2 linked regions of the Oryctolagus cuniculus genome follow. The protein of the gene in region 1 interacts with the protein of each later gene in a biochemical or structural test. Links are inferred from orthologs where the notes say so. Each region holds a gene or a part of one and is shown on either strand. Other genes may lie near its edges.

Region 1 (5,019 bases):
TGAACTTCCCCCTGCAAACCCTGCGCACAGGGATCTCTCAGTGTCCTGCTCCACCCCAGCCCACAGGGCCATAAACACTCGTGTGTCTGCAGTCCCAGCCCCGGGGATTCCAGAAATAACAGCAGGGCCCTGCAGCGGGAGGCTGGGAGACAGAAAGACATTTCTACCGGAGGACACAGGCCCCTTCCAACCCCGGGCCGCCCCTGCCCAGCAGAGCACAAAGCGACCTTCAGCAGTCGGGACAGGGAGGGGCAGCCGGGAGGCAGCCTCCCCCCACCTGCCCCTGCTCTCGGACCCTCCCCTGTAGGAGAGCCTCTTGGATTCCTTCCCACCTGCGGTGTCCTTGACCACCGCCCGCCCCCTGGGCGTCCTGGAGCGGGGGTCCCAGCAGCTCCGGGAGCCTACGTTCACGGGAGGAAGCTGCAGAAGCAGCCCCCTCCCCAGCCCAGCCGCACAGCCACCGTGGGTGGAGCGCGGGGGACTGGGCGGTGCCGGGGGGAGGGGCAGGTTAAAGGGACTCCCTTCCAGAAGCGCGGTCCCCACGAGGAGAAAAATCAGGAGTGGACACGCGGGAGCGAGTTTTAGCTCTGCAAAAATAAGGAGCGCGGGCACCGAAGACGACGATGTGGGAAACACGAATAACCCGGTGGGGGGTGGGGGGACCACGAACACTGCTGGGCGCAGGCAGGGGCGTCCCGGCCCTAGCTGCGCGCCCAGGGCATCTCCCACTTTTTAATAAAGACGATCCCCAGCCCGGGGCCGCCGGGATCCCCGCCTGCCTGCCAGCACGGGGGTTCGGGGTGCCCGTCTGGAAACCCCAGCTGCTCCTGCACTAGCCGCTTCCTCCAGGAGCCAACTCCCCTTTCCGATGGGGATGGGATTCTCTCTAATTCGCAGCCCTGATGGCGACGTCATTAGAAAGGCTGGGCTGCGCCGTCGCGAGCTCCAAACCTTTGTCACAGACAGGGCGGTGGAGGAAAGGCCGGGGCGTGCGCCGGCACAGGGCAGAGCCGGCCGCCCGCCGAGCTCCGGCCTCCAGTCCGGGCCGGCCGGGCGCCCCGCACCCTGCCGCGGGGGTCGCGGGGGTCGCGCGCGCCGCGCCCAGGGGCGCCGGGGCGGCGGGGAGGAGAGGCGAGTGGGTAACAGCATCGCCATGGCAACAGTGACGTCCTTGTACCCTGGATCTAATTGGAGGAAACCCCGTGGCCGAAGCCGCAGCCTGCCGGCCAACCGAGCTTGCCCAAGCCGACCCACCCTCCGAGCCGCCGCGTCGCCTCTCGTCCCGCCCCTCGCGCCCCCTTCCGCGCGCTCAGCCCTCATTGGCCAGCCGCGGGGCGGGAGGCGGGACCCTCCCGGGAGGCTCGGCGCGCCATTGGGCGGCGGCCCGCCGCTCGGCCGCGGGGTAGGCTGAGACGGGAGGGTCCTCGGCTAAAGCCCAAGGCAGATCAAAGTGGTGGGACTCGCGTCGCGGCCGCCGAGACGTGAAGGTGAGCTCCGGAGGCGGCCCGCGGGCCTGCTGCGGCCGCGCGGGGGCCCGTGGGGCCGGGCTGGGGGGCGCGGCGCCGGGGGCGGCCGTCTGCCGGCGCCGTGCTCCCTCAGGGACGGCTCCCGGCGGCGCGGTGCGGGGCCAACGGCCGCTTCCATCTTGGGGCGCGCGCGTGGCGGGAGCGGCCCTCCCGCGGCCCCCGGCGCGCTGCCCTCCCGCCGCGGGCCCGGGCGCGGGGCGGCTGCGGGCGGCGGGCGCCCGGCGCGGGCTGGGGGCGAGGGCCACGCACGCGGGCGGCGGGCGCGGGCAGACAAAAGCGGGCGGCGGGGCGGCGGGCCGCATTGTCTGACGCGCTGCCCGCCCTCCTTTTTGTCCTCGGCCCGCCGCCCCGCCCCGCCCCGCGCAGCCCTCGCGGAGGCCCTCGTCGCGACCCGCTCGTGCTCGGCGCCCGCCATGGAGAAGACGGAGCTGATCCAGAAGGCCAAGCTGGCCGAGCAGGCCGAGCGCTACGACGACATGGCCACCTGCATGAAGGCCGTGACGGAGCAGGGCGCCGAGCTGTCCAACGAGGAGCGCAACCTGCTCTCGGTGGCCTACAAGAACGTGGTCGGGGGCCGCCGGTCCGCCTGGAGGGTCATCTCGAGCATCGAGCAGAAGACCGACACGTCGGACAAGAAGCTGCAGCTCATCAGAGACTACCGGGAGAAGGTGGAGTCGGAGCTGCGGGCCATCTGCACCACGGTGCTGGTGAGTGGGGCGGGGGCGGGCCGGAGGAGCCCCGCGCGCTCCCTTTGTGCGTGGAGGGGCGGGCCCTGAGCAGGTGGGACGAGGCGGACACTTCGCTTTCCCGAGTGGGAGCGGCGGGGCGGGGCGGGGCGGGGGGCGGTTGGTGCTCGCGACGTGGGCTCAGGCTGGTGGCTGTCGTCGCCGTCGCCTCGCGGTCCCCAGACGCTGGCGCGTGCCCCCGGGCTCGCTTCTGGTGCTTTCCAGGTTCTGGACTGCCCAGGGTCAGGGCGGCTGCCGGGAGGAGTGGGTGGCCCCGGTGATTCACCGTTACTAGCGAGAGCGGACAGTTTTAGCTTTGTCATGGCGAAACGCTTTCTGATCCGGGAGATAAGTGTGCAGTGCTGGCATTGTGTCCCGGAGTGTCGCCTGCCCCTCTCGGGCCGCTTTGACAAGAGCCTTGCCGGCCTTGCACGTGTTTGTTCCACAGCGTGTTTAGGGGGCTGGGTCGGGATTTTTCAAAAGGGCGTAGAAGAAAAAAATTTTTTTGCCTGTTACATCTCCATCCATCAGACTGTTTCCTTCTCCACCCTAGGAAAAAAAATATTTCTTTTTTAAACCCATCTTTTTCTCCTATAAATGACAGATAACATAAACAAAGTCCTGTCTGATGGAAATAGCTAATAATTGGGGGCAGTACAGAGTGCACTGAAGTGGGGAGAACTGTGGGGATTGTTCGCTTTAGGAAGGTGAGACTGCCCACTTCGTCCGCGCGTCCTTAGCCTGTAGCTCCTGCTGGGCATAAGGGAAGATGTGAACGCTCTGTGTCGAGTGAGTTTGCCAGCTTAGTAGGGTTGGGAGACTTCACTTCCACACACGTAGTGGCTATGGAGGGCATCGTCTGCTCCATGTCTCAAGTTTCCTGTGCGTGTTTCAGGCGCCCTCACAGCAGCTTTCAAACTCTTTCTGTTCGGTTATTACTTTGCCATGTGTTAGTTACCCTGCCACAACTCAGAATTAGCCCTAGGTTCTTCCTGTTCTCTAGCCAGTTAGCTCTGAGCCAAAGAAATGTTTGTTTTATTTTATGGCTGTCAACGAATTTTGGGTAAGTGGAGGGGACTTGGCTGAATCGGTAGTGGCTTCAGTGAGGCCAGGTTTCTCAGGCAGATGGTTCATGGGAGAGAACCCTGAAATAAGGACATTCTTTTTAAATGCTGTGAGGAAATAAGAGTTTAGCCTGATTGATGAGACACTAATGCGTAAGTAAAACATTTTATTAGTAACGTGGTTTAAGAGACTAATTTCAGCTTGATGGCCCGTCTAAAAAATACCCTGGGAAAACACATTTCTGAGTTGGCAGCCATAAACGAGAGCTTCCTGTGTGCAGTGTGAACGGGCCAAGAGCCGTGGCTTTGCCCTCCTGTAATGTGTAGTCCAGGTGCGTGTGAGAAATTCCCAAATGTCCAGAATGCAAGGTGATTCCCAAAGATGGTTGTGAGCAGAATGCTGGGCGCGTTGAAGGAAACAAGCCTCTAGGAAGGCTCACTGAAAATCGTGGCTTTTGGGTTGAGCATTGGGCGGGGTGTGTGTGTGTGTGTGTGTGTGTGTGTGTGAGTATCCCAAGCTGAGGAAATACACAGAATAGTAGGGCCGGCGTGGGGGAAGCAGGCTTCAGTGTGCAGAGCTGTTGGAGCAGAGAACCTGGAAGATGGGCAGTGTGGTCTGTAAGAGCTGGTAGTGAGGGGTTCCTCTTTGGGTGGAGTAGGGACACGGTGAGGGGTTTTGCGTAGTGTGCATGTGGCAGCATCCAGGATTCGTGCTTGGAGTCCAGCCAGTCCAGTCTTTCAGACAACGGAGTGATGTATCGGGCTTGTGAACACGAGTAATGATTGACATATTGGTAGTTGGATAAGGAGTCTGTTGAAATAATGAAAGAAGAGGTACATTTAAAGTTTCTAAACATGCATGTTAAAACAAGGTTTTCTTCTCTGTTAGAAAGGCAAGAGAATTGGGTGAAGGCAGTAGGCACAGCGGACTTCATTGCAGAGGGCTGTAGAGCAGAGTGACCTTGAAGGACAGCCAGACATTTTATCCAAGATGGCAGAGTCCCTCCACCTCCTCTTTGCTTGTCGTAGAGTATTGGGGCACAGACAGCTGTACTGTTGTTCAGTGCACAGAATACTCCACGGTGGTCACCCCTGACTCCTGAAGACTACTGCATTGAGTTACTGAACCGCAGAAGCATAGAAAAAAGGTTTAAATCCAAGTGAGTGCTCTTTAGAGAGAAAAGAGGCTAAGAGGGCCAAAGAAGACGAAAGCGAACTCTGAGTGGAGCTCCGGGAGAGGTTAGAGCAGATTCACCAACTTGTCTGTCCCTCAGTCTCATTTGAAAAACTGGGAGTTGGAGTAAAATTTTCTTTTTCTTTCTTTTTTTTTAGATTTATTTGAGAGGCAGAGAGAGAGAGAAAGTCCTTCCATTTGCTGGTTCACTCCCCAGATGGCCACAATGGCCAGAGCTGTGCCGATCAGGAGCCAGGAGCTTCCTCTGGGTCTCCCAAGCGGATGCAGGGTCCCTAGGACTTGGGCCATCTTCTGCTGCTTTCCCAGGCCAGAGCAGAGAGCTGGGTCATAAAGCACCAGGACTTGAACTGGTGCCCACTTGGGATGCTGGCACTGCAGGTGGCGGCTGTACCCGCTATACCATAGCACCGGCCCCTGGAATGAAAATTTCTGGGTCTGTTCAGGTTGAAGAATGTGTTGTTGTCAAGTGATACATGAATTGTTGAAAAGCTGGTGGTATTAGTGAAATG
Region 2 (4,938 bases), on another chromosome or scaffold:
GCGTCAGATGTGATCAAAGGGCTCCCAGAATCAGCTTCTCATCAGCCACAGTTCTAAAGAAAGTGCGAGAGGAAGAGCAAGAAAAGAGATTGGAGGCAACCACTGGAGTTTATTTACTGATTTTCTGGGGAAACCACAGTTTAAATAATTTAACTCTAAATAAGGTGACACAGGACCCTTCAGGCAAGGGAATCAGTCCAACCAAGTGCCTTGCTTTCCGTTTCCTAACACTGAGGCCACTCAAAGGCTGCACTTCCACGGCCACTTCAGCTGAAATGTCCACAGGACCGAGAAGAGATCTCTTGCCTTACTTGGCGGCATGATCTGTTCTAGGGGAAGGCCTTGCGATCAGAAGCACTGCTGCTGCTCGTCTTTCTGCTTGTTCTCAAGAGCACAGCACCTGCCTGGAACAGGCGTCACCCAAGGTTCTGCAAAGACTCTGCTTCCCTGTGTGCGACCGGCACCCTGAGAACTACGCGCAAGTGGCTCAGGGGAACCCGAGTCCAGGAGAGTAAAACGGGGATGAGTAATCCAGACTTGAGAGCAGAGCCACAGCACACACAGCCCCTGCTCCGGACAGTTATTCAGAGCAGCTCACATTCCAAAATGGTTCCCAGGCACGGCTGTCCTGAGCCCGGCGTGTCAGGATGAGAGGAAGTCAACGCGCACCTCACAAGGCCACGGCGACAGCACACCCACATTTGGTAAACAGCACAAAGAAACCACACGGAGGCCGCCCGGGACTCCACGCCGGTGCGCACAAGGTCCCACGGCCTCCCGGGCAGGAGGCACTCCGCGCCACTCCACAGACGCCTGGGGTGCCGGTTAGGCCCTCAGCCCCTCCTTCCAGCTCCCAATCAACAGTCTCGGAAAGTTATCCAGCTAAGCAGGGCCCACCTGCCAACACCAAGGCTGCGAGAGAAAAAAGGACGGAACAAGCAGCCTCAAGAGGGCAGAGAGTGGCTCCCCGAACGGAGAAACAGCTGGCAAGCGAGGGCAAGGACCACTGCGGGCCACAGACCAAGCTCCCCGTTTCCAGACTCTGCCCCACACGGAGTCAGCTGTCAGGCCCATCCCTCCCTCTCAATGCCCCTGCACCCCAGAAACAAACAACCCGTGCACAAGAAAAGGGCCAGCCGCCACCGAGAAAAACTCCGTCCAGAACTGCCGGGTTCCTAACTGTGCAGGTGACAGGCAGCAGAGGCTCACAGAACAGCCACACGGAGTAAAGGACACGGGGGAGGGTCTGTCGGAGCAGGTCAACCAGAGAGAATGAAAACACTGCAACAGCTCTACCCCAGCGACCACGAAGGAAAGGGGACAGGAGGGGCGCAGAGGAGGGAGGGCGGAGGATCCAACGCAGTGCAGCCCCCGGGCAGGAGGGCGCCTTTGCCAGGCCCTGCTGTCTGGGCCCAGGAAAGTTCTCTGAGAGGTAAGGCAGGGCGTCCCCCGGCAGGGCCCTCAGCAAGGGTCCCAGCAGCCAGGGAGGGGACAGCCAGTGAGAGCACACAGCACAGGCCACGGCTTGGCTGACGCCCCACGGGAGTGCGGCCAGGATGGGGGCAGCTTGTAGGGTCGGGAGGCTGCGGCATAGGGCAAGCACTTGCTGGGAATTACAGAGCAACGGGAAGGGAGCAGGGACGGCACAGCAGCACACGGGGGCGGGGGCTGTCCGCAGGACCTGAAGACGGCAGGAGAGGAGCAAACCCCGCGGGGAGGCACGGAGAGGAGGCGAGGCGAAGCCAAGGGGGCAGCAAGGCAGTGAGCAGGGAGTGACAGGCACCGAGCGTCCGGGTGCGCGCCGCAGAGGCCCGGGAGAGAAGTGAGCAACAGGTTGTGTGAATACACAGGGCGGAAACAGCGAGCGACCGTCCCGCGGGGTGCGGGCCGCGGCCAGGGCAAAGGCCGGCGGGGCACGCAGGGCGCCGAGCAGGAGGCGCAGGGGCTTGGGAACCGAACCCTGGGGGAGGAGAGCACGAGGGGCCCCCAGGGCTCCGAAGGCAGGGAGGACAGGAACCCCAGAGCAACCTGTGGGCAAACTGCGCGCATGACAGCTGGGAAACACGGAAGCGACACGGGCAGCGCCAGGAGCCGGGGAGCTCCCGGGGAAAAGACGGGAAAGTGATGAGCAAAGAGTAGGCGAGCGATCCGGAAAGGGGATGAGGGTGGAGCTGGTGGGCTGCGGGCAACAGCGAGCACGCGGGGCTGAGGACGAAGCGGGGCGGACACAGCTGGGCAGCCGCAAGCGGACAGGGCTCGCGGCGAACACCCTCCCGGGCGAGGACCCTGCGGGTCGTCAGCAGGGACCGGGAGAGCCGGCGCGGGCGGAGGGAGAGGTGGCCGACGATCTGTGGCCAGGCGCGGGGTGCTGCTCGAAGCGTGGGTGGAAGAAGACCAGAGAGGGCCCAGAGAGAAAAAGGGAAGAGAGGGGAAGCTGAGGAGGTTAACACGGAAGAGCGCAGGAGGGCGGCGAGGGGCGGAGGGGGGTTGGCAGGGCGACAAGTGTGCAGCCTGGAGTCAGTTCAAGGTGGGTCCCGGGTCAGGACTCGGAAGGGGGATGTGCAGGGCCGGATGACAGGGCAGCCGGGGCACGAGGAGAGCAGAGGAGGGAGGAGGCTCCGCAAGGTGCAGGGGCCCAGCCAGAGAATCCGGGGAGCCCTCGGGGCTCCTTACCTGCTCCGTGTCCCTCTCGTTCAGCGTGGGTAGGGGGGTCCGGGCGCTGGACATGGCGCCGGTATCTCAGGGGAGGGAACCGAGAAGCTCGGAGTAAGGGAGGGAAGGGAAGGCGCGGAGCCCGGCCGGGCGGGGCTTCTCACAGCAGGAGCGCCCGCCGCATGGGCCCCGGCCGGGGGTGCGGGGAGGCCGGGCAGCCGCTCACGCCAGCCCGGGGATGCGCCGCTCGGGCTAGGCCGCGCCGGCTCCGAGCGGCTCCGGACCGCACCCCCCCGACCCCCGGCTGGGCTGTGCCGCCTTTCGGCCGGGCTGCGCCGCTCCGCCTACTCTCTGCCGCCGCAGCCGGCCGCCTGCCTCGCTCCTCCCCTGCCCTCAGCGGCACTGCTCCGCGCCCGGCACACAGGCAGCCGCCGCCGGACCTGCTGCTCCCAACATGGCCGCCACCACCGCCGGCCCTCGGCTCTTTCCGCCGGCGGCAGCCGGAAACATCCGAAGCGCTTAGGAACGGGAGGGGGGCGCGCCTTCTCCTCTCGGCCGGGGTCTACGGGTCAATTCCGGAAACAGCCGAAGAAGGTAATCCCCGGAGACGCGCGCACCTCCTCGATTCCGAAGACCGAGCTTCGGCTCTGTTTACGGAAATCTACGAAGCGGCTCCGGGCCCTCCTGAGCCGCCCAAGCCACGCCCACCGCCCTTTCCCCGCCCACGTCAAGCCGGCTTTCGGCAGTTTCCGGAAACACCCGAAGAGGCTCCGCGTGCGGAGCCGGCCACGCCCCCGTCCTGCTGAGCGGCCGAGGGCGGCAGTCGGCCATTTCCGGCAACACCCGAAGCCCGCCGAGTCCGCGGTCATTTCCCCCCCGGGGTTCCCAGAGCCTGGCTCTTCGTTTCTTTCCGTCAGTTTTCGGGTATTTTCAAACCTTGGACGGGACGCGTGGGTCCCCGTGCGTGTTGTTATTTGACTAAAAAGAGGACGAGGCTGTTAGCCATCCATCCCTGTGGCCGGTGTACTTTGGACCTGGAGCAGCTTCCTGCTGCGTGTCTGTTCGTCCCCCTGTCGGTTATCTCATAAAATCCATCTTCTGTTTATCCCGCACCACAGGCCGTCAACATGTGTCACCTGACAAACGCAACGTCAGTCTATTACCTACCTGCCTCCCGCCCACCACCTGCCACGGGCTCTCCTGTCTGTGAATGGCCGCACCTGGTCCGCAGGTCGGCAAGGGACCAGGTCAGCGTCCGACACACTCCGCTGCGGGAACGCCCAGGGCCTGCCTTGCAGCCCCAGCTCTGCGATCCTGGGAAACCCACCTGCCATCTCTGAGCTTAGGCTCCTGTCCCCTCCACCGAACGGATTTATCCCAGAGATGACTTTAAGTGCCCCTGCCAGGTAAGGCAGGAGAGATCGTCTCATCTTTTTTTCTTTTAAAAAACAATGCACCTTTTCTAGCGGTAAGGTCGACGTGGGACGCCCGCATCCCGTCCCTGACTGGCCGGGCTCAAGCCCCCGCTACTCTGCTTCCAATCCAGCTTCCTCCTCATCCACACCCTGGGAGGCAGCAAGTGATGGCTCAAACACCTGTGTCCCTGCCACCCACATGGGAGACCCCAGGATTGAGTTCCGGACTCCAGGCTTCTGACTGGCCTAGCCCTGGCTGTTGTAGGGATTCTCCTCCGTCTCTCTGCCTTTGAAATAAAATGAAATTTTAAAAAATAAACATAGCATGCATTCCCACGTGGGAGACCCAGAAGCAGCTCTGGACTCCTGGCTTCGGCCCTGGCCCAGCCCTGGCAGTTGCAAACATCTGGGGAGGGAACCAGCAGATGGAAGATCAATCTCTCTTTCTCTCTCTCTCTGTAACTCTCCCTTTCAAATAAATAATGAAATATTTTTTAAAAAGTGTGCATTTTCCATGAGCTTTTATTCACTTATTTGAGCGGCTAGGTGTAGGAGTTGGGAAGGGCCTTCATCCACTAAGACTTACTTGCCCATAGTCTACAACGGCCCAGTCAGGCTGAAGCTGGGAGTTGGGAACTCCATCCAGATCTCCGATGTGGGTGGCGTGGGTGGAGGAGACCCCGGTACCTGAGCCATGGCGGCTGCCTCCCCAGGTCTACATTAGCAGGAAGCTGGAGTTAGGAGCAGGACCTGGGCACTGGACCCCGATGCCCACTCCGATACGGAACCCAGGTGTCACGGCTGGCATCTTCCATGCTAGCCTAAACGCGTGCCCCAGGCCTTCCCTTCATTCCCACGTCACTGTATCTAA

Evidence for each region.
Region 2: the proteins of YWHAQ (region 1) and MARK2 form a complex in vitro, tested with the Homo sapiens proteins (2 studies listed by BioGRID, with this or other methods). The link is inferred for Oryctolagus cuniculus from reciprocal best matches to the Homo sapiens genes YWHAQ and MARK2.

Annotation. Positions count from the first base shown.
Region 1 is NC_091433.1:192,508,264-192,513,282, forward strand, and holds the start of YWHAQ (14-3-3 protein theta), read left to right. Parts: upstream 1-1,904; 5' UTR 1,905-1,939; coding exon 1,940-2,233; intron 2,234-5,019. UniProt on the Homo sapiens protein: Adapter protein implicated in the regulation of a large spectrum of both general and specialized signaling pathways. Binds to a large number of partners, usually by recognition of a phosphoserine or phosphothreonine motif.
Region 2 is NC_091432.1:7,361,109-7,366,046, forward strand, and holds the start of MARK2 (serine/threonine-protein kinase MARK2), read right to left. Parts: upstream 3,300-4,938; 5' UTR 2,728-3,299; coding exon 2,674-2,727; intron 1-2,673. UniProt on the Homo sapiens protein: Serine/threonine-protein kinase. Involved in cell polarity and microtubule dynamics regulation. Phosphorylates CRTC2/TORC2, DCX, HDAC7, KIF13B, MAP2, MAP4 and RAB11FIP2. Phosphorylates the microtubule-associated protein MAPT/TAU.